Anolis sagrei: one gene and its partners. The protein of the gene in region 1 purifies or fractionates together with the protein of each later gene. This does not show direct contact. Links are inferred from orthologs where the notes say so. Each region holds a gene or a part of one and is shown on either strand. Other genes may lie near its edges.

Region 1 (7,869 bases):
GAAAGAAGGAAATGGACAGTTGTGTGTTGAGCTGGCTGAGCCTTGCTTCCATGAATGGAGGAGGAAAAGGTGGAGAGGAAAGGAGGAAATGGATAGTTGTATGTTGAGCTGGCTGGGCCTTGTTTCCATGAATGGAGGAGGAAGAAGCGGAGTATAAAGGAGGAAATGGACAGTTGTGTCTTGAGTGGCTGGGCCTTGCTTCCATGAATGGAGAAGGAAGAAGAGAAGTGGGAGGTAGGAAATGGACAGTGCCTTGATTTGAAAGGGAAGATGGGTCCAAGGGATGAGGGAAATGGACAGTTGTATGTTCAGCTGGCTGGGCCTTGTTTCCATGATGGAAGAGGAAGAAGAGGGGTGGAAACGACGAAATGTACAGTTGTGTGTTGAGCTGGCTGGGCCTTGCTTCCATGAATGGAGAAGGAAGAAGAGAAGTGGGAGGTAGGAAATGGACAGTTGTGGCCTTGTTTTGAAAGGGAATATGGGTCCAAGGGACAGGGAAATGGACAGTTGTGTCTTGAGCTGGCTGGGCCTTGCTTCCATGAATGGAGGAGGAGGAAGAGAAATGGAAGGGAGGAAATGGGACAGTTGTGGCCTTGTTCTCAAAGGAGAGGTGGGTCCAAGGGAGTAGGGAAATGGACAGTTGTGTCTTGAGCTGGCTGGGACTTGTTTCCATGATGGAAGGCGAGTGGAAAGGAGGAAATGGACAGGTGTTTTGAACTGGCTGGGCCTTGTTTCCATGAATGGAGGAGGGAGAAGAGGAGTGGAAGGGCGGAAATGGACAGTTGTGTTTTGAACTGGCTGGGCCTTGTTTCCATGAATGGAGGAGGAAGAAGAGAAATGGAAGGGCGGAAATGGACAGTTGTGTCTTGAACTGGCTGGGCCTTGTTTCCATGAATGGAGGAGGAAGAAGAGAAATGGAAGGGCGGAAATGGACAGTTGTGTTTTGAACTGGCTGGGCCTTGTTTCCATGATGGAAGAGGAAGAAGAGGAGTGGAAAGGAGGAAATGGACAGTTGTGTTTTGAACTGGCTGGGCCTTGTTTCCATGAATGGAGGAGGAAGAAGAGAAGTGGAAGAGTGGAAATGGACAGTTGGGGCCTTGTTCTCAAAGGGACGGTGGATCCAGCCAGTCTTGAGCTGGCTGGGCCTTGCTTCCATGGAGGAGGAAGAAGTGGAGTGGAAAGGAGGAAATTGACAGTTGTGGCCTTGTTTTCAAGGGGAAGATGGGTCCAAGAGACGAGGGAAACTGACAGTTGTGTCTTGAGCTGGCTGGGCCTTGTTTTCATGATGGAAGAGGAGTGGAAAGGAGGAAATGGACAGTTGTGTCTTGAGCTGGCTGGACCTTGTTTCCATGATAGAGAAGGAAGAAGAGGAGTGGAAGGGAGGAAATAAGACAGTTGGGTCCTTGTTTTCATAGATGGGTCCAAGGGAAATGGACAGTTGTATGTTGGGCTGGCTGGGCCTAGTTTCCATGAATGTGGGAGGAAGGGGAGTGAGAGGGAGGAAACGGACAGTTGTGTCTTGAGCTGGCTGGGCCTTGCTTCCATGAATGGAGGAGGAAGAAGAGAAATGGAAGGGAGGAAACGGACAGTTGTGGCCTTGTTTTGAAAGGGTAGATGGGTCCAAAGGAGTAGGGAAACAGACAGTTGTGTTTTGAATGGAGGAGGAAGCAGAAGAGTGGGAGTGAGGGAAAGGGAGGTTGTGGGTTGGGCTGATTGGGCCTTGTTATCCATGGGAAGGGGAAAGACACTGACTGGGCCTAGTTTCCATGAACGTTGGAGGAGGAGGTGTCTGGAAGGAAAGGCCTTCCAGCTGCCTGGCTGGCGACTCACCCTGCCGCCCCACGATCTCGGCCACATGCTCGGAGCTGGGCACGGGGACGCACTCGGTGGTGTTGACGCTCTTCCTCCGCAGCAGCGCCGCCGCCGCCGCCTCTCCGCCGTTGAGGGCCGGCCCGCCTCCGCCGCCGCCTCCTCCGGGAGCCGCCACTCCCCCTACTCCTGCTGCTCCCACTCCTGGCTGTGGCGGCGGAGGCCCGTAAGCCTGGGAGAGCATGGCGGCCACCACAGCGGGGGGCACCCCGTCCTCGCCGGGCGCGTAGAGCAGGCCTCCTCCTATTCCCCCTCCTCCTCCGCTTGTGGAGGCCGCGGGGGCCGCCTCGAAGGGCGGCGGGAGGAGCACGGCGCGGGGCAGGAGCAGCAGCGACGCCTGCCCTCCCTCTCCCTCCTCCTCGGCGTTCTCTTCCAAATCGAGGTCCAGGCCTTCAGGCGGGGGCGCGGCCTCCTCTTCCTCCTCCTCCTCGCCGTCTTCTTCGTCTTCGTCCTCCTCCTCGTCGCCGTCTTCTTCCTCAGGAAAGAGCGGTGGCGCGGAGGCCTCCCTCAGGCCCAAGCAGGCCAGGCGCTCCCTCAGGAAGAGCGCCTCCTGGGAGTACAGGCTCTGCGGCCTAGTCGTGGAGGAGGACGAGGAGGGCAGGAGGAGGACCATGTCTCCTGAGGGCGGCGGCGGCGCTTCCTCCTCCTGAGGCGAAGGCGAGGCGCTGCCGCTCGGCATGGCCGCCCAGGGCAGCTCGGCTAGGCCCCACGGAGGCGGCGGAGGAGGAGGAGGTGGCGGCGAGGAAGGCGGAGGCCGGTCAGGCCCTCGGAGGAGGCGGCGGCGGCGACGACATGGCGACGGCGGCTCCCCTCTCGGTGCTGCTCCTGCTCCTTCTTCTTCCTCCTCCTCCGCCTCCTCCTCGTCGCCGTCGCTGCTGCCGCCAGGGCCTTCCTCGCCGCCCTCAGCGCGCCTCCCTTTGTTCCATGGCAGCAGCGCCGCCCGCTCCCCCTCGCCCTCCTCCTGCTCCTCCTGTCCCTCCTCCTCCTGCTCCGGCTCTTTCTCTCCCTCTCCGGCTCCTCGGGAAGAAGAAGAAGGGGAAGAAGGCGGCGGTGGCGATGGCGGATCCAGCCCCGCCTCCTCCTCCGCCTCTTCCTCCGCCTCCTCCTCCTCGGCCGACCGCATCCACGCGCCACGCCCGCCGCCGCCTCGTTGCTTCCCTGCCTCTGCCCGCCCTCTCGCCGCGGCCAAAACCCACTCCCGAGACCCCGGCCGGGGCAGGATTGTTGGGTTGGCCCGGCGGGGATTGTGACGGGGTGGAGACAGGCCACCGCCGGGAAAGGGGGAAAGGGCACCCAGGCCTGCCCCGGAGGAGAGGAGAGGGCGGGATGAGGGCCAAAGAGAGGAGGGAGGAAAGAAAGAAAGAAAGAAAGAAGGGGAAGATATACACACACACACAAAGAGAATAGGAAGGTGGCAAGGGAAAGAGTGAGAAGGAAGGAAAGAAGGAAGGAAGGAAGGAAGGGGAGGTGAAGATTATATATATATATACATATACATATATATACACATGAGGAAGGGAGAAAAGAAGACGAAGATACACACACACACACACAAAGAGAATAGGAAGAGGGAAAGAGTAAGGAGGAAGGAAGGAAAGAAGAGAATAGGAAAGTGGCAAGGGAAAGGGTGAGGAGGAAGGAAGGAAAGAAGGGGAAGATATATATATACATATATATATATATACACACACACACACAAAGAGAATAGGAAGGTGGCAAGGGAAAGAGTGAGGAAGGAAGGAAGGAAGGAGAGAAGGGGAACATATATACACACAAAGAGAATAGGAAGAGAGAAAGGGTGGGAAGAAAGGAAAGAAGGGGAAGATACACACACAAAGAAAATAGGAAGGTGGCAAGGGAAAGGTTGAGAAGGAAGGAAGGAAAGAAGGGGAAGATATACACACACAAAGAGAATAGGAAGGTGGCAAGGGAAAGAGTGAGGAAGGAAGGAAGGAGAGAAGGGGAACATATATACACACAAAGAGAATAGGAAGGTGGCAAGGAAAAGAGTGAAGAGGAAGGAAGAAAAGAAGGGGAACATATATACACACAAAGAGAATAGGAAGGTGGCAAGGAAAAGAGTGAAGAGGAAGGAAAGAAAGAAGGGGAAGATATACACACACAAAGAGAATAGGAAGGTGGCAAGGGAAAGGGTGAAGAGGAAGGAAGGAAGGAAGGAAAGAAGGGGAACATATATACACACAAAGAGAATAGGAAGGTGGCAAGGAAAAGAGTGAAGAGGAAGGAAGGAAGGAAGGAAAGAAGGGGAACATATATACACACAAAGAGAATAGGAAGGTGGCAAGGAAAAGAGTGAAGAGGAAGGAAGGAAAGAAGGGGAAGATATACACACACAAAGAGAATAGGAAGGTGGCAAGGGAAAGAGTGAGGAAGGAAGGAAGGAGAGAAGGGGAACATATATACACACAAAGAGAATAGGAAGAGAGAAAGGGTGGGAAGAAAGGAAAGAAATATATATATATACATACACACACAAAGAATAGGAAGAGGGAAAGAGGAAGGAAGGAAGGAAAGAAGGGGAATATATATATATATATATATATATATATACACACACATACATACATACACACATATATACACATACATACATGCATACACATATATATATACATACATATACACACATACACAAAGGATAGGAAGAGGGAAAGGGAAAGGGTGAGGAGGAAGGAAAGAAAGAAGAGGAAGATACACACACACACACAAAGAGAATAGGAAGAGGGAAAGAGTAAGAAGGAAGGAAGGAAAGAAGGGGAAGAGAGATATATACACACATACACACAAAGGATAGGAAGAGGGTAAAGGTGAGGAGGAAGGAAGGAAAGAAGGGAAAGATGTATATATATATATATAGAGAGAGAGAGAGAGAGAGAGAGAGAGACACTCACACAAAGGATAGGAAGAGGGAAAGGGTGAGGAAGAAGGAAGGAAGGAAGGAAGGAAAGAAGGGGAAGGTATACATACACACACACACACAACAGAAGGCAAGGGAAAGGGTGAGAAGGAAGGAAGGGAAAGATATACACACACACACACACTAGCCGTCCCCTGCCATGCATTGCTGTGATCCAGTCTATGTATATGTATTTTCTGTGTGTATATATGCATATATATGTGTCTGTATATATGTGTGTATGTGTATATATATGCATATATGTGTGGTTTTGCACATGCGGTGTAATGTAATTTTTGTTTTTGCCTTTTAAGTCCCTTCCATTGTGTTTTTCAGTGTTTTGATGAGTGGTCACTCGTTGGCCTGAGAGGTGTAATTGTGTCCAAATTTGGTGCCAATTCATCCAGTGGTTTTTGAGTTATGTTAACCCCACAAACAAACATTGCATACATATATATATATATATATATACTAGCCACCCCCTGCCACACATTGCTGTGGCCCCGTCTGTGTTTTGTGTATGTATATATGCATATATGTGTGTGTATAAATGTGTGTTTGTTTATATATGTGGTTTTTGTGCATGCGTTGTAATGTATTTTTTGTTTTTTGGGTTTTTAAGTCCCTTCCACTGTGTTTTCTAGTGCTTTTCTGAGTGATGGTCACTTTGAAAAAACTCCTAAAATTCAACAAAAAATATTGTAGTTAAGATGGTATACAGCAGATTAATAAGGTAGATGTTCAAAACAAGGTGGAGGTGTATATAAGGTGTAATTAGTCCTCTCCATAGGCTAAAGTGCATAGATGTGTTATAAAAAGCTTTTAAAAGGAGAGCAGAGAGGGGGCAATTTTTAATGGGACCAAGAGGAGGGCCTCCTCTGCAGACCGTAGTGCTTGTGCTGGTTTGTACACGGAGATGTGGTTTTTCAGGTAATCTGGGCCCAAACAGTTTAGGGCTTTATAGGTAATGACCAGCACTTTGTATTTAGCCTGTCAGCAGACTGGCAGCCAGTGGAGTTGTCCACTACCTGTACGGTACTACAGTTAGTAATATGGCTGCCGATCCCTGAACCAGTTGAAGCTTCCAAACAGTCTTCAAAGGCAGCCCCACACAGACAGCGCTGCAGTAGTCCAGGTGGGATGTGACTAAGGCATGTGACCCCGATGGACTTCCTTCTGCGTCACAATATTGTTGCTAAACTACCAGAAAATTTGACAAATTCGATGACTATAAAATTAACAGCAGCAATGAAAACAATGGTGTGTGCTTGTAGGATGTGCCGATGAAACAATGTGATTGACAGTGTCATTGTGCTTGAGTAATAATGACATCTCTGACTGGAGTGCAGGCACACCTGAAGACTCAAAAAGTCAATCAGTATAGAGTTTTAACCTTGCAGGTATATCGACACAGTACAGGTAAGGATGAGGTTATATCTAACTTTTGTGGATTCAATTTGCTAATTTGCACCAAGTGACATACATACATACACAATGTTCTTATTCCAAACCAGGAATATTTATATGAAACTAGCTGTCCCCTGCCACGCATTGCTGTGGCCCACATGGGGGTTCTGTGTGGGAGGTTTGGCCTAATTCTATCGTTGGTGGGGTTCAGAATGCTGTGTGATTGTAGGTGAACTATAAATCCCAGCAACTACAACTCCCAATGTCAAGATTTTATTTCCTCCAAACTCCACCAGTATTCACATTTGGGCATATTGAGTCTTTGTGTAGAGTTTGTTCTAGACCCATCATTGTTTGAGTCCACAGTGATCTCTGGATATAGGTGAACTACAACTCCAAAACCAAAGGACACTGCCCACCAAACCCTTCCAGTATTTTCTGTTGGTCATGGGAGAACTGTGTGTCAAGTTTGGTTCAATTCCCTCATTGGTGGGGTTCAGAATGCTCTTTGATTATAGGTGAACTATAAATCCCAGCAACTACAACTCCCAAATGACAAAATAATTTTTCTTTTGAGTGAAGGACATACATTGGGTTGTTAGGTGTCTTGTGTCCAAATTTGGTGTCAATTCATCCAGTGGTTTTTGAGTTTGGTTAATCCCACAAACGAACATTACATTTTTATTTATATAGATAATAATTTTCTACTGAAACTTCACAAAAATTGGTGTCACGATCCCTGATGGTGTCCCAAAGAGTAGTTCATACAACCTGCTATTATTCAGAAAGCCTTGATCTCCAATGATTATTTAAATAAATGATTTTTTTTGCCTCTGACAGGCAGAGGAACCTATTCTCCTGGTCAAGAATATTCCTGGTTTGGAATAAGAGCACGGTGTATGTATGTATGTCACTTGGTGCAAATTAGCAAGTTGAATCCCCAAAAGTTACTGGCCCACATTAATTTTTTATTAACCTTGTCTGGCATATAATCTACTTGAGTACCATTTATGTTCAAGCTCTACAGACCATTATCTGTGCCCCTTTCTGACTTGCAGGAGAAATTGGTCTGTGAAAAACAAACTCACATTGTTATGGAGTAGTTTAAACCCTTCTGTGTCCCATGGGTTGCTCTCTTTGCATTCCAAGGCTGCTAATTTAAGGAATAAAGTGGTGGAAAGAAGGAATAATGTGTTGTTTACTGGGTGGCGTATTTTCATTTTGGTGTAATGTAACTTTAACGTAATGTGACAAGGCAATGTTTTAATGTTACCTATGTTGTAATATTGTTTGTCTAAGTATCCACTTGATCTTGGAAGCTAAATGCTCAGCCCTGGTTAGTACTTGGACTGGATACAAGGTACTGTAGGTTATATTTCAAGGGAAGGAACTGGCAGAGGTGCCTCTGAGTATATTCCTTTCCTGAGAAATTCCTATGAAATTTGTGTTGTTCCTATAAGTTAGCAGGCAACTTGAAAGTGCATACACCAGGGGTCCTCAAATTTTTAAAATAGGGGGCCAGTTCACTGTCCCTCATTTACTTACTACTTAGGCGATCCCTCATTGTCTGAATAAGATTGTCCTCCAAGTTCAGTGGACTGGTGATGGGTACGTACGTAGGTGACTGTGGTGCCCTATTCTTGACCTGCATGTTCTCCCACAGTGAGGGCATCAGT
Region 2 (7,867 bases), on another chromosome or scaffold:
CCTAGCAGTTCGAAAACATGCAAATGTGAGTATATCAATAGGTACCGCTCTGGCGGGAAGGTAACGGCGCTCCATGCAGTCATGCCGGCTACATGACCTTGGAGGTGTCTACGGACAACGCTGGCTCTTCGGCTTAGAAATGGAGATGAGCACCACACCCCAGAGTCAGACATGACTGGACTTAATGTCAGGGGACTACCTTTACCTTTTTACTTATTATTATTATTATTATTATTATTGGGTCAGCCCTGGTTAGGGTGTGAATGGGAGATTATTATTATACTTACATTATTACTATTATACTTAATATTATTATACTTATTACTAGCTGTTCCCCTGCCAAGCGTTGCTGTGGCCCAGTCTGTGTATATGTGTTTTGTGTGTGTATATATTTCTGTATATGTGTATATGTATGTTTGTGTATATATATGTGGTTTTGCACAAGTCTTGTAATGTAATTTTTGTTTTTTGGCTTTTTAAGTCTCTTTCTCCGTGTTTTCCAGTGTTTTTATGAGTGATGGTCACTCCTTGGCCTGAGACTTGTATTGTGTCCAAATTTGGTGTCAATTCATCCAGTGGTTTTTGAGTTATGTTAATCCCACAAACGAACATTACATTTTTATTTATATGGATGTACTAGCCGTCCCCTGCCACGCGTTGCTGTGGCCCACATGGGGGTTCTGTGTGGGAGGTTTGGCCCAATTCTATTATTGGTGGGGTTCAGAATGCTCTGTGATTGTAGGTGAACTATAAATCCCAGCAACTACAACTCCCGAATGTCACATTTGGGCATATTGAGTATTCTTGTAGAGTTTGGTCCAGATCCATCATTGTTTGACTTCATAGTGCTCTCTGGATGTAGGTGAACCACAACTCCAAAACCAAAGGACACTGCCCACCAAACCTTTCCAGTATTTTCTGTTGGTCATGGGAGAACTGTGTGCCAAGTTTGGTCCAATTCCATTGTTGGTGGGGTTCAGAATGCTCTTTGATTGTAGGTGAGCTATAAATCCCAGCAACTACAACTCCCAAAGGACAAAATCAATTTTTTGAGTGAAGGACATACATTGGGTTGTTAGGTGTCTTGTGTCCAAATTTGGTGTCAATTCGTCCAGTGGTTTTTGAGTTATGTTAATTCCACAAACGAACATTATAATTTTATTTATATAGATTATATGTAGATGATTATTATTATACTTATTATTATTATTATGGCACCAGATCCTACTGACCTTGGAAGCTAAAATGTGTCAACCCTGGTTAGGACTTCCATGGGAGATGATGTTATTATTATTCATATAATCCAACCCATAGGCAATATTTCAGAGTAAAGACCCATCAAAACCATTTCCAAAGGAAACTATTGGGTTTGCCGTACATCAACCACCAACTTGATGGCCCATCCGCACAAACGTTAATTGTAGATTTAAGATCAAAACAGTTGTCCTTGTGGGCCCTTCAAAGGCCTTCTTCCCAACTGATGGCAAGCTGACCAAATGGATGGGATGCAATACCAGATTTTGAATGGAGATGATGCACCTGTAAAGCCGGAGAACTTCTTGGGCGGGTCGGAAGAAGCGGCCGGCGCCTTCTTTGGGGAGGTGATTTGTCCGCCGGGAGAGATCTTGGCCTGCACGACTGCCTTCTTCTTGGGGGTGTTGGAGGCTTTTGAGCTCAGCTCTGCAAAAGAGACCGGTGTCGCATCAATCTCGTTCCCCCCAAACCCTCAATGGCAGTCCAATACAAGCCATTCCCTGCCTATGTATGTATATATGTATGTATCTCTCTCTTAGGGGTTGGACTATGTATCTATCTATGTATCACTCTCTCTTGGAGAGAGTCCCTTCCAAGTCCAGCTACCTATCTATCTATGTATCTATCTATCTATCTCTTGGGTAGACTGGATGACCCTTGGAATCCCTTCCAAGTCTAGCATTCCATCTATATATCTATCCATGTATTTATTTATCTCTTAGGGGTTGGACTGGATGACCTTTGGAGTGCCTTCCAGGTCTAGGATTCTCCTCTCTCCCTCTCTCTCTTAGAGGTTGGACTGGATGACCCTTGGAGATATGTATGTATGTATGTATGTATGTATGTATGTATCCATCCATGTATCTCTCTCTCTTAGGGATGAGACTGGATGACCCTTGGAGTCCCTTCCAAGTCTAGCATTCCATCTATGCATCTATCCATGTATCTATTTATCTCTTAGGGGTTGGACTGGATGACCTTTGGAGTGCCTTTCAGGACTAGGATTCTCCTTCTCTCTCTCTCTCTCTCTTAGGTGTTGGACTGGATGACCCTTGGAGATATGTATGTATGTATCCATCCATGTATCTCTCTCTCTCTTAGGGATGAGACTGGATGACCCTTGGAGTCCCTTCCAAGTCTAGCATTCCATCCATCCATCCACAATTCTACCTAAGTACATACCATTCCCTCTCTCTGTCTTATGAGTCCAGCTGACTGTCCCTGTGGGTCCTCCTTTCCATCCCTGTGGCCCTCTGTTCCTTTTCTGTCCCTCCCTCCCTCGATGTGCTGAGATCCCTCACCCGCGATGTGTTGGTTGATCATCTCCTTCTCGGGCTCCTGCAGCTCCTCCCATCCCTCCAGGTCGGTGAGGTCCTCAATCCGCTTGGTGGTGGCTCGGGCGCGCTCCAGCTTCTCGAAGGCGCACTTGACGTGGTACCACTCCTTCATGTCCCCGCCGGACTCGGAGAAGGGGTTGGGCACCACCTTCCCGATGCGCACCGTGCCCTTCAGCAGCTTCTCCTTGCACTTCTTGCAGCCGGCCGTGCCCCGCTTGGCGTAGTCCACGCAGTAGCGCTGCTCCGCCATCTGGGAAGGAAGGAGAGCCAATCTCCGCAAAGGCTGTGTAAATAGCAATGGGGGGAAAGCGATCCCAGGTTGAGGCGGCCGCCTCGGGAGAAAGATCAGCCTCTGGCTCTGGTTGAAGGCCCTGGTTGTCCGTAGAAGGAGCGCCGAGAGGAGGAACGGCATGCAGCGCCCGGAGCAGAGTGACTAAAATACTCTGAAAAAGAGACACAACAACAACAATAGACCATAATACAATAATAATTCTATCCTTCCTTATGGTAGAAGGGGGTTGGTCCTTCTTCCTATCTATCTGTCCATCCTTTTCTTTCCCTCCCTCCTTTTCCTTCCTTCTTTTTCTCTTCTTTTGCTTTTCTATCTTTTTCTTTCCTTCCTTCCTTCCTTCCTTTTTTTCTTTGTGGCTCTTTCTTTCCTTCTTTCATTCCTTCTCTTTTTCTTTCATTCTTTCTTTCCTGCCTTCTTCTTTTTCTTTGTAGCTCTTTCTTTTCTTCTTTCATTTCCCTCATTTTCCCTCTCTTCTTTCTTTTCTCTTCCCTCCCTTCCCCTTTTTCTTCCCTTCTTTCCCTCATATCTTTTCCCCTTTCCTTCCTTCCCCCTCTCCTTTTTCTCTTCCTTCCTTCCTTTTCTTTTTTTCTTTGTGGCTCTTTCTTTCTTCCATTTTCCTCATAAGCCTTTCCCTCTCTTTTTTCTTTCTCTTCCTTCCTGCCTTCTCTCTTTTCCTTCTCTTTCTCTTTCTTTCCTTGATCGTTCATTCCTTCTCCATCTTTTTCTTTCTTTCCTTCCCTCCTTTCCCAGCTTTTTATTTCATTCCTTTATCCCTTCTTTCATTTCCTTTTTCTTTCATTCATTCACGCTTTCTTTCCTTTCTCCTTCTATTTCTTTGTGGCTCCTTCTTTCCTTTCTCTCTGTCCATTTCTTCCATAAACCTTTTCCCTCTCTTCTTTCTTTCTTTTCTTTTCTCTTCCCTTTCCCCTTTCCCCATCTTTTTCTTTCATTCTTTCTTTCCATCCCTATGTTTTCCTTCCTCCCTTTCTCTTCTTTATTCTTTGTGTCTTTTTCCTTTTCCCCTTTTATTCATAAACCTTTCCTTCTTTCTTTCCTTTCTCTTCCCCTCTCTTCCTTCGTTCCCTTCTTACATCTTCCTTTCTTCCCTTCTTTCATACCCCTTTCCCTTTCTTTAGCGTGTTCCCTCCTTTCCTGACCTCCTTTTCCATCTCTTTCTTTCCTGCCTTCTTCTTTTTCATTGTGGCTCTTTCTTTCCTTCTTTCATTTCCCTCCTAATCCTTTTCCTTCTCTTTTTTCCTTCTTTTCTTTCTCCTTCTTCTTTCTCTTCCTTTCCCCCTCTTCCTTCCTTCTCCCCTTCCTCCCCTTCACACTCCTTCCTCTTTCTTTCTTTCCTTCCTACTTCTTTTTCTTTGTGGCTCTTTCTTTCCTTCATAAACCTTTCTCCCTCTCTTATTTCTTTCCTTTCTCTTTCTTCCACTCTCTTCCTTCCCTCCTTTTTCCTTTCTTTCCTCCTTCCCTTTCCTTCATAGACCTTTCCCTTTTCCCCTTCCTTTTCCTTCCTTTTTTCCACATACCTTCCTTTCTTCCTCTCTCTTGCAATGGTCGCCTAGCAACAGCCAATCCCCTTCCTCCCTTCCGCAGCCATAGAGAAGAAGGAGGAAGAAGAAGAAGGGAGGGAGAAGAAGTTCCTTTTTGTTGCATGAGAGAAAAAAGTAACTTTCCCCTACTTGCATATTTCCATATCCACTTCCTCACCTTTGTTTTCCCTCTTGCAGGACCATTGCTAGGCCTCACCGGAAGTGGCTCCCGCCTCAAAGCCTCGGCTAGGCCTCACCGGAAGTGGCCGATCTAGGACTCCACACGCCTCATGTCCCACACCTAAGCCGCTCTAGGACTCCAAAGGAAAGGGAGGGATACAGAAGAAGAGTGGAAAGAAAGGGAAGTGAGTTTCCTTCCTCACTTCTGGTGGGTATGGCCTCCCCACCGGAAGTGGGCCTTCTTGGGCGCTTCTAGGCGGGGGCGGCTCTATGGGCCCGGCTTCCGGTCCTCCCAATCCTTGACCCCACCCTGGCTTCTTCTTCTCTTCATTAAAGAAGGCTTCTGCTGCTTCTCTTCCTTCTCCTTCTTCCTCTTTAGGTGAGATTAAAGGGGCGTGGCCTCTGGGCTTCCAGGCCACGCCCACTGTGGGAGGGAGGGAGGGGGAAGAGGGAAGGGAGCCATTGATCTTGCCTCCTTCCCTCCCTGCAAGGTAGGACTACTCTGATGACAAGGCCTCCCTTTCTACCCCTATTGATTAGTCCCCTAATTAGTGAGGTTAATGAGTTGGGGCCAATTGGGAAGGAAGGAAGACTGAGCCCCCCCCCTTCTCTCCCTTGCTTTCATTATTATTATAATTAATTATCATAAATTATAATAAAATTATATCATTGATAACATCCATTATAATATAATAGTAATAGGAAGTAAGAAAAGGAATGAAGAGAAAAAAGGAGAGGAGGGAAGGAAGGAAAGGGGAAAACTCCCCCCCCTTCTCTCCTTTGCTTTCATTATATTAATTATCATAAATTATTGTCATGGTTGGTCCTGAAACTCGCTGGAACACCTCAGCAAGCAAGAGTCCAAAAGTGGCAGGCTCAAATCCAGCACCTCAACCAATGGCTGATACCAAATGAGAGACTCCCTCCTGGGCACACAGAGGACTGGGCGACTTGGAAGGCGCTGAACAGACTGCGCTCTGGCACCACGAGATGCAGAGCCAACCTCAAGAAATGGGGCTACAAAGTGGAATCCTTGACATGCGAGTGTGGAGAGGAGCAAACCACAGACCACCTGCTGCAATGCAACCTGAGCCCTGCTACATGCACAATGGAGGACCTTCTTGCAGCAACACCAGAGGCACTCCAAGGGGCCAGATACTGGTCAAAGGACATTTAATCAACTACCAAACTCACAAGTTGTGCATTTTTCTGTTTGTTTGCTTTGTCCTGTTAGAAATGTAATATAATGGACTGGCTGCTCTGACACAACAAATAAATCATAAATTATAATAAAATTATATCATTGATAGCATCCATTATAATATAATAGTCATAGGAAGTAAGAAAAGGAAGGAAGAGAAAAAAGGAGAGGGTGGAAGGAAGGAAAGGGGAAAACTCCCCCCCTTCTCTCCCTTGCTTTCATTATTATTATAATAAATTATAATAAAATTATGTCATTGATAACATCCATTATAATAGTAATAGGAAGTAAGAAAAGAAGAGAAAAAAGAAGGAGAGGAGGGAAGGAAGGAAAGAGAAAAGGAATGAGGGGAAGAATAGGGCTTTTAATTAATAGGCAGGAAATGGAAGAAAAGAAAGAAAGAACGAGCCACAAAGAAAAAAAAAGAAGGGAAAGGAAGTATTAATATTTATTATTATATACTTTTTATTATTATAATTTAATAATATTTATGATTATATTTTTATTATTATTATTATTTATTAATACTGAGCTGCCGAACTTGCTGACTGAAAGTTTGGCAGTTCGAATACGGGGTGTGGGTGAAAATTTAATTATTATTATTAATCTTTATATTATTGTTGTTGTTATTATTATTACAATATTTGGAGAAGAGTGTCCTGTATTTCAGAGGAAGGAGCTGGCAAAAACATTCCTGGCCCAAGAAAACCCCATTATATTCCCTAAATCCCTAAGCAATTTGAAGCTCACAAGATGGGGAATGAATGAGATGAACTTAAACTCTTAACCCAGGAAAGCAAAAGCAGCTGTCACTTTGCTAAAGGCCTAAGTCTCCATCAGATCTTGGATGCTAACCCTTGAATTGGATTATATATTTGGAGTCTACACTGCTGTATTATCCAAAGTGGATCACTTGGATTATATGGCTGTGTCAATTAAGCCTAAGAAAAACCCAGGTGAATTGACAGGTGAATTGACCTGATATCATCTTTTCCTTTCCTTCATGATAGTCTTAGGAAGCCGAAGCCATGACGGATTCCAAGTACTTCACCACCAATAAAAAAGGTGAGATGGGTATAGAGGAATATAATATTATACCATTATTTAATGTAATTATATAATATATTATAATGTAATATAATATATTATAATGTAATATAATATTACTATAATATTATGATGCTATTATTTCATATAATAATAGTATAATGGCATTTCTGACTGGACTGTATTTCCTTTCCCTCCTTCCAAGGGGAGATCTTTGAGCTGAAAGCAGAACTCAACAATGAAAAGAAGGAGAAGCGGAAGGAAGCTGTCAAGAAGGTCATTGCGGCCATGACCGTGGGCAAGGACGTCAGGTACGGAATTATTGTAACATAATAATAATAATAATAATAATAATAATACCATCATCAAACCTTATCTGAATAAAAATTATTATTACATTACTAGCTTGGGTGCCTGGTGTTGCCCAGGTTATTTGAACAAGTCAATTTTTTTAATGGTACGAAATGCATGTGGTTGTGGGTGAACTACAACTCCCATCATGCCAATTTAAACCTGAGAAACTCCCATCAGTGCTTCAAGTTTGTTATGTTGGGCAAATTTGCTCTGGCTACATCATCACTGTGGTTCAGTGTGCTCTCTGACTCCTATAAATCATGTTGAATTCTCCCCAAACATCTCTTGTATGTTCATTATTATGATCAATTCCTGTGTTTGCTGTGTGCCATAGAAAAGAATAGGGAAGGGTTAAGGGAGAGGCAGTGGGCGGGGTCATGCAAATTCCACACCAACGGAGAGAGTAAGAAACACTGCGATGTCTGTGGTGGAGGAAATAAATCAAATCTAGGATGGAATTGTCCCCGAATGAAAACCTTCCCTTGGGTGGTGGGCAAGATGGTGTTGGTGGGAGACATTGGCAGGGCTCCTGGACATGTTTACAGCACTCACTATAACCTGCAATGTCATTGGAGGGAGGGAGGGCCTTTGGTGTCACCTGAGTGGTGGGAGATATAGCTGTTTGTGGAGGCAGGCGCTTTTCTTCCTTCCCTGCATCTCTCTA
Region 3 (7,286 bases), on another chromosome or scaffold:
TCTAGATCAGGGGTCCACAAACTTTTTGAACAGAGGGCCAGGTCACAGTCCCTCAAACTGTTGGAGGGCCGGATTATAATTTGAAAAAAAAATGCATTCCTATGCACGCTGCACATATCTTATTTGTAGTGTAAAAAACACTTTAAAATAATACAATAATTAAAAAGAGGAACAATGTTAACAAATATAAACTTATTAGTATTTAAATGGGAAATGTGGGCCTGGTTTTGGCTGATGAGATAGGATAGTTGTTGTTATGTACTTTCAAGTTGTTTCAGACTTAGGTTGACCCTGAGCGAATGACCTTGGAGGGCCGCATCCGGCCCCTGGGCCTTAGTTTGAGGACCCCTGTTCTAGATTCTTCCCTTTTACCAGAATTCTGCCCTTTGGTTTCTTCGCTGTCCCCTGTGGAAGAAAAATGCCATAATAATGGTGTGGTGTAATGTACTTAATGGCCCATAGAATGCAAGGAATAAAGAAAACTGTGGCTAACAGCAAGCAAGAAAGGAAATAAAAGGGAAAGGGGAAAAAACTAACTCATGAAGCAGTCCAAACAAGTGAGGCAAAGAAAAGGAAACTGATGTGACTGGCAGAAGGGACGGGACGATTGCCAAAATATTTTCCTTAGCTTTTCCTTTTGTGCTTGCTCTGCAGGCACAAAATAAACACAGATATAAGTCACTGAAACCACAAAGAACATACATTTCAGTATTATTGGAAGTGAGAGGCAGCATCAGGAAGCTAGATAGTTCCTGGACTTCCCCCTCTGTCTTTCCCCTAATTTTATGTACCTAGACAGTTTGATTTCATCCGACCTGATGATGTCACTTCACCCATCCACACAAAAAATGGCCACTTCTCTTTGTTCCCTTTGTCTGAGAAGGGGCACTCACAGTGTGTCAAATTTTAAAGGAACTTCCAAAATTCATGATGTTCAGGTTTGACATTTGGGAAATAGCTAAGAACATGTTTGTGTTCTACTTAAATATCAAATGAAGGCATTGATTTCAGTTAACCTAGTCATCTATTTCTCTGCAAAATCAACACATTGTCCATATTAAAAATGACACAATGCATATATTGCCATCTTTATGAAAAGCTCATATACAAAAATGCACAAATTTTTGGCATTCATTTAGCCCACAAAAATGGAAATGCACCCCAACCCTCAAATAAGAGACATTACTTATAAAAAAGGACATCTCCCAATGTATTAAGAGACAGGTTTTCTGGTCCGCAAATAAGAAACATCCCTTGTAATAGGGACAACCAAAGAACCTAGATAGTCATGAGGGACTCCATGTTCAATAATTATTACTAGCTTACTTCCATACATAAGAGCCATCTTTAGGGTCTCTTATAACTATATACAATGGTGATTAAGGTGTCTTTGCTGAAAATGACTTCTATCTTTGAGACACAACCTGTTTCCCAGTCATGTTGAGATCTACCTGTAATTTCTCTAACAAAAGATGTAATTGATACATTGGCCATGCCACTGAGTAACTATTAAGAACTTTATCAGGTTATTCTGGTCCTCTGAAACCCTTAACTTTCAATTCCCCAGAATCTTCACACTACTAGACCATATAATGCTGTAACACTAGAATTTATGTTTTCGTTTCTCCAGTCTGGTTGCCTGCCTTCAGTTTCTTTGACAAGCTGTGTGTTTGACATCTCAGTAGACAACAGAAAAAGAACATTGAGAACTGATGATAAAAATAGGGAAAGCTAATTTAATACACACACACACACACAAAGAGCAACCAAACTTATTACTGAACAAAGCTCTTCCAAACCCACATTTTAACTTGGCCTACACATCTAGATTCACTGCTGAGCAATGTCTTAGTCATCAACACAGCAGGCAAATGGCTGGCATTGTGGCACAGATTCTGCTCAGAACTGGAGAAAGTTCAATAATACTGAGTGTTTGAGTTGTCTAAGAGCAGGATAGCAGTTATGGTGGGGACACATCACCCAGACAACATGGAGCCTCATTAAATCAATTTCTGATTTATTTTAATTATTCAGTTTGTACAATATTCCAATTCATCAAAAACAACTATTGAGGTGGACATAGCTCCATGGTATTTATAGAACAAATACTCATAATTTGGATGATAAATGTCTTAGTTGTGAAAAATAACACATTATTGCTAGGGAGGTTACATAGAAATATATGTGTATGTCTGGGGAATCAGAGTAACAATTATGCCATCATTAATATGTCACTTTCTAAGCAGGCAGGGTAATTCTTATTATAGTACTAGCAGAAAGTTGGGGGAAGAGGAGAAAAGACATTAATGAAGGGTCAAGCTGTAACTATAACCTGGCAAGTCAAGTAAGTCTTTTTTTAACTGAAAGATGGCCATGCATAATAAATAAGAGGAATCCTCATCAAGCAAAGTTCAAGTCACTATCGATTGCGAGGAACATCAAACTAATCTAGGGAAAACAAATTAATAACCTCGTATGTAAACTTTCACAGAAAAAAAGTCCCAGTGGATACAAATGGGTATCTGCATTAAGTCACAATATAAGACCAGGCACCGTATGAAATACATCGGGCCATCATAAGTTACCCATCACACTAGAGAAACCCCCCTCCCCCCACTTAAAATCCAGTTTCTGCCTCCTGCAGAATTCTGGGGCTTGTAGTTTAGGGAGGAACCTTTAACAGCCTCACTAAACTACAAACTCCATAATTCTGCAGGAGGCAGAAACCAGATTTAAAGTGGATTTTTTCCTCTAGTGTGATGAAGTAGTTAGACAGGGAAATTGCAAATGCCTACATTGGGCTCTTGGTATTTTCTGTGGTTTGGTTCCAGTGTCCGTGTGGATATCAAAATCCACCCATACATATAATTGTGAAGTATAGAATGGAATATATAAGCATGGCAAAATCAAGCTTTTTAAGTTGTGTGTGCAATATTTTCAAGCTGTGGATAACTGAATGCCTGAATGCATAAGGGGGGCATATGGACACACACAGAATGATACTGCAGAGAAATGACCAAGCTGGGGGGGGGGGGTCACTACAAACTCCTTCGCCTTCCTGTGCTCCAGTGCCCTTATTAGACTGACCACAAAGTAGGGCTTTAACAGGAAACCTATTCAAGATGTCTAATTTGTACAAGAGTGACCATTCTTCCCAGTCGTGTTCAAGTATAGCCAAATGTGCAATCCTTTGCAGTCTTCTTCCATCTCCTTCTCCAGCAGGAATCCTTTCCAAGTTTCAGCCACGCACCGCTTGCCTTCCTCGCTTTGATTGAGGATCACCAATTATTATCTGCTGCAAGCAAACAGCAACCACGATAATTACAAATAATAATAATAATAATAATCTTTATTTATACCCTGCCACCATCTCCCCAAAGGAGACTCTGGGTGGCTAACATGAGGCCAAGCCCAAAATTATAGTACAGCAAAATAAAATACAAGAAGCAAAAATAACATCAAAATAAATACATGAAATAACAAAATAAAATAACCAGTTTCAAAATAACATGATAGAGAAATAGAACACAGTGGGCGGGCCAAATGTACTAGGAATAAAATTGATAAAACCCTGGATGAGGAATGTAGAATGGGTTTCTGAGGGAGAATGTGTTTCTGAGAATGAGTTTCTGAGGGAGGCACACTGGCATTTGCTGGCTCCTTCTCATGCAGTCATTATTCACGTGCTGCTCTGAGATCATAGGCTTTCAGAAGCAGGTGCTGCAGCCCATTCCCCTGCAAACAAACAAACACACACACACACACAAACAAACAAACAAGCAGAGAGAGAATGAATGGGAGGCTGCGGGAGAAGGAAAGGCGCTCTTCCAACCCAGCCAGGCGCACTTCTACGCATGCGCTTCGTCTCTGACAGGAGGTGGGCGGGCGGGGGGGAGTAAGAGGGTGGGGCGAAACAAAAGGGAGACTTCGCGCAGGCGCAGTCCCGACTAAGTGTCAGCGTTTTGACACACGGAAGAGGAGGTGGTAAAGGGGTGGCTGAAAGGGGAAGAGGCGGGGCCAAGAAAGAGAGCGCGCGTGCGCGTTGGAGAGAGAGAGAGCGCGCGCCGAGCCGGCCTAGCCTATCCGCTTTCCTTCGCCGCGCCCTGGCTTGGGCCGAGCGAACTCTCTGTGCTGCCGACCAATCCCCGCTCTCCGGCCACCCCCTCCTTCGCGCGCGCGCACAAGGCCGAGGGGGCGGGGCCGGGCGCCTGCCAGTCATCCCTGCCAGTCAGTCAGTCAGTCAGTCAGTGTGGCGCTGCCGGGCGGGTGGGCTGCCTGTGTCTGTTGCCCGCGGGGGCCCCAATGGCGGCGACGGCGGCGGGGGCTGAGGCAGAAATAGAGGCAGGGCCGCAGAGGCGCTGAGGGGAGGAGCGTGAGGAGGAAGAGGAGGAGGCGGAGGCCATGAGCGCGGCCGCCTCCGACGAGCCCGGCGGCTTCTTCCTCTTCCCGAGCGGCACCGGGCAGCAGCACCCGCAGCACCCGCCCAGCGTGGCCATGGGGCCCGGGGAGAGCGCGGCCTCCGTGGCCGCCTTGTCGGCGCTCCTCCCGCAGGCGCCGCCGGGCTCTTCGGGGCTGGGCTCCCCGGCCGGGGGCGCCAGTGGCAGCGTCGGCGGGGGCGCCTGCCGGGCGCGCTACCAGCTGCTGCTCTCGGGCCGGGCCCTGGCCGAGCGCTACCGGAGGATTTACACCGCGGCGGCGCTGAGCGAGCGGGACCAGGCCGGGCACCCGGGCAGGTAGGGAGAACAATAACAGCCCAGCAGCAGCAGGAGGAGGAGGATGCTTCTGCTGCTGCTGCGCACACGCCCCGCCAGGGACATCCGGGCGGTTGCAGGTGGCGCTTCCTGCCCTGACTCACCTGGGAGGGGGATAGATTGGCTCATCACTTGGGAGCCCCTCCCCCCAGCAACAATACAGCAATATATAATACTAATATTGTGCTGTGCTGATGTTGTAATATATTGTATACACATATAATATGGATAATATTATAATGCAATACAATATAATACTAATAATAATACAATGCAATGATTATATATTTTATATTGCATGTAATATTACTAATAATATTATATAGTACAATATAGTAAGATATAATACTAATATTGTCCTGTGCTAATAATAGGATATATTGTATACACATATAATATTGATAATATTATAATTCAATACTAATAATAATAAAATGTAATGATTATATATTTTATATTGCATGTAATATAAAATATTTTATTTTTATTTTAAACAGAGGCTGGATGGCCATCTGTTGGGGGTGATTTGAATACAATATTCCTGCTTCTTGGCAGGGGGTTGGACTGGATGGCCCATGAGGTCTCTTCCAATTCTTTGATTCTATGATTCTAATATTACTAATAATATTACAGTACACTGGTATAGTATAATATAGTAATATATAATATCAATATTGTGCTGTGCTAATAGGATATATTGTATACACATATAATATTGATAATATTATAATGTAATACAATATAATACTAATGATAATGCAATATAATAATTTTATATGTAATATTACTAATAATATTACTAATAGTATTACGGTATAGTACAATATAGTAATATATAATGCTGATATTGTGCTGTGCTAATAATATATTGTGTACACATATTATTGATGATATTATAAAGTAATACAATATAATACTAATAATACAATGTGATAATTATGTATTTCATATTACATGTAATATTACTAATAATAATAAAGTATAGTGCTACAGTACAAGATAGTCATATATAGTAGTAATATTGCGCTGTGCTAAATATATGTTGTATACGCATGTAATATTGATAATATAATGTAATGCAGTATAATACTAATAATAAAATATAATTTTATCTTTCATATTACATGTAATGTTATTAATACAGTACAGTGGTATAGTATAATATAGTAATATATAATACTAATATTGTACTATACTAATAACATAATATGTACATATAGCTTGTAAGCCACTCTGAGTCCCCTTCGGATTGAGAAGGGAGGCATATACGTCTCACAATAAATAAATAAATAAAGAGGGGGAGGCTGGGCTGCATCCTTCACAGAAGCACCGCCCTCGGCCTATAGACCCCCTCATCACCACCTCCTCAGGATCCAGAAAAGAACGCCTACCTACTTCACACCCCCTCATCTCTTCTGCATTTACTTTAATTGTCCATTGAAATAAAACCCAGCTCTTTGAATCCACTGGTTCCCAATGAGAATTCGCAGGGACAGTGAAATCATGCTCCCTTGTTGCTGTGCTGTTGGGATGAACTTTGCCTCTGATGAGTGCACGCCTCCTCAGAAGTAAACCCCAATGTATTCAGTCGTATGTAAGTGAGGCCTCATCTACAATGTCATATAAAATCCACATCATCTGCTTTGAACTGGATTTTATGGCAGTGTAGATTCATATAATCCAGTTCAAAGTAGATAATCTGGATTATCTGCTTTGATTTGAATGTAGAAGGGGGCTTAAGAATAAGGATAGGGAGTTTATTGTACTATGAGATTTTACTGTCTCTGAGAATCCAGCTCAATTGTGAATGCATCGAATTAGGGAAAGGCAGAAGCTGGGACTAACAGTGGGAGCTCACCCTGCTCCCAGGATTTGAATTGCCAACCTTTCAGTCAGCAAGTTCAGCAGCTCAGCGGTTTAACCTGCTGCGCCACAGGGCTAATATGGCAGTGTAAACTCATATAATCCCGTTCAAAGCAGAGAACCTGGATTATCTGCTTTGATAACGCAAGCCAACAAAATCAAACTTTTTGTAATCATCAGAAATGAGAGTAGCACAGTTTGAATCAATCTTTATGTTGATTTTAAATACGTCTTTTTTCCCATCATGTCAACTTTTTTTTAAATGACAAATGGTACATTGCAGTGGACTACTGTAGAGTCTGCACATTTTGCATCGTATTCGTCTAACAAGCATTTTTCATCAAGTATTTTTCATCAGATATAATTTTGGGTCATTCTTACAGAGTGTTTTGTGCTGGGTTGTTCTGCCTTGATATTCTGGGTTTTATGGCTGTGTGGAAGGGCCCTTGGATATCTCACAGCCAGGTACTCCTGGATTGCTTATTACTTTCTTAGTTGTCTAAAATAGGAAGTTGTTTCTTTCTCTTTACCTGAAGGTAGTTTAACTATGGGTCATTATACTTCTTTGTAAACATTTCAAAAGACAACAAGGCACATTAGAGTTAGCATAACAATAATAATAATAATAATAATAATAATTATATTTCTTACCTTCTCTTTGTGGCGCGAGGC

What was found.
Region 2: the proteins of MEX3C (region 1) and AP2B1 purify together in Homo sapiens (affinity purification with mass spectrometry; 4 studies listed by BioGRID and IntAct, with this or other methods). This does not show direct contact. The link is inferred for Anolis sagrei from reciprocal best matches to the Homo sapiens genes MEX3C and AP2B1.
Region 3: the proteins of MEX3C (region 1) and MYCBP2 purify together in Homo sapiens (affinity purification with mass spectrometry; 3 studies listed by BioGRID and IntAct, with this or other methods). This does not show direct contact. The link is inferred for Anolis sagrei from reciprocal best matches to the Homo sapiens genes MEX3C and MYCBP2.

The regions. Positions count from the first base shown.
Region 1 is NC_090022.1:286,899,420-286,907,288, reverse strand, and holds the start of MEX3C (RNA-binding E3 ubiquitin-protein ligase MEX3C), read right to left. Parts: upstream 3,008-7,869; 5' UTR 2,993-3,007; coding exon 1,831-2,992; intron 1-1,830. UniProt on the Homo sapiens protein: E3 ubiquitin ligase responsible for the post-transcriptional regulation of common HLA-A allotypes. Binds to the 3' UTR of HLA-A2 mRNA, and regulates its levels by promoting mRNA decay.
Region 2 is NC_090031.1:28,420,295-28,428,161, forward strand, and holds the start of AP2B1 (AP-2 complex subunit beta), read left to right. Parts: upstream 1-4,864; 5' UTR 4,865-4,980; intron 4,981-5,041; exon of another isoform or gene 5,042-5,092; intron 5,093-6,812; 5' UTR 6,813-6,830; coding exon 6,831-6,867; intron 6,868-7,054; coding exon 7,055-7,160; intron 7,161-7,867. UniProt on the Homo sapiens protein: Component of the adaptor protein complex 2 (AP-2). Adaptor protein complexes function in protein transport via transport vesicles in different membrane traffic pathways.
Region 3 is NC_090023.1:127,768,128-127,775,413, forward strand, and holds the start of MYCBP2 (E3 ubiquitin-protein ligase MYCBP2), read left to right. Parts: upstream 1-4,209; 5' UTR 4,210-4,401; coding exon 4,402-4,733; intron 4,734-7,286. UniProt on the Homo sapiens protein: Atypical E3 ubiquitin-protein ligase which specifically mediates ubiquitination of threonine and serine residues on target proteins, instead of ubiquitinating lysine residues.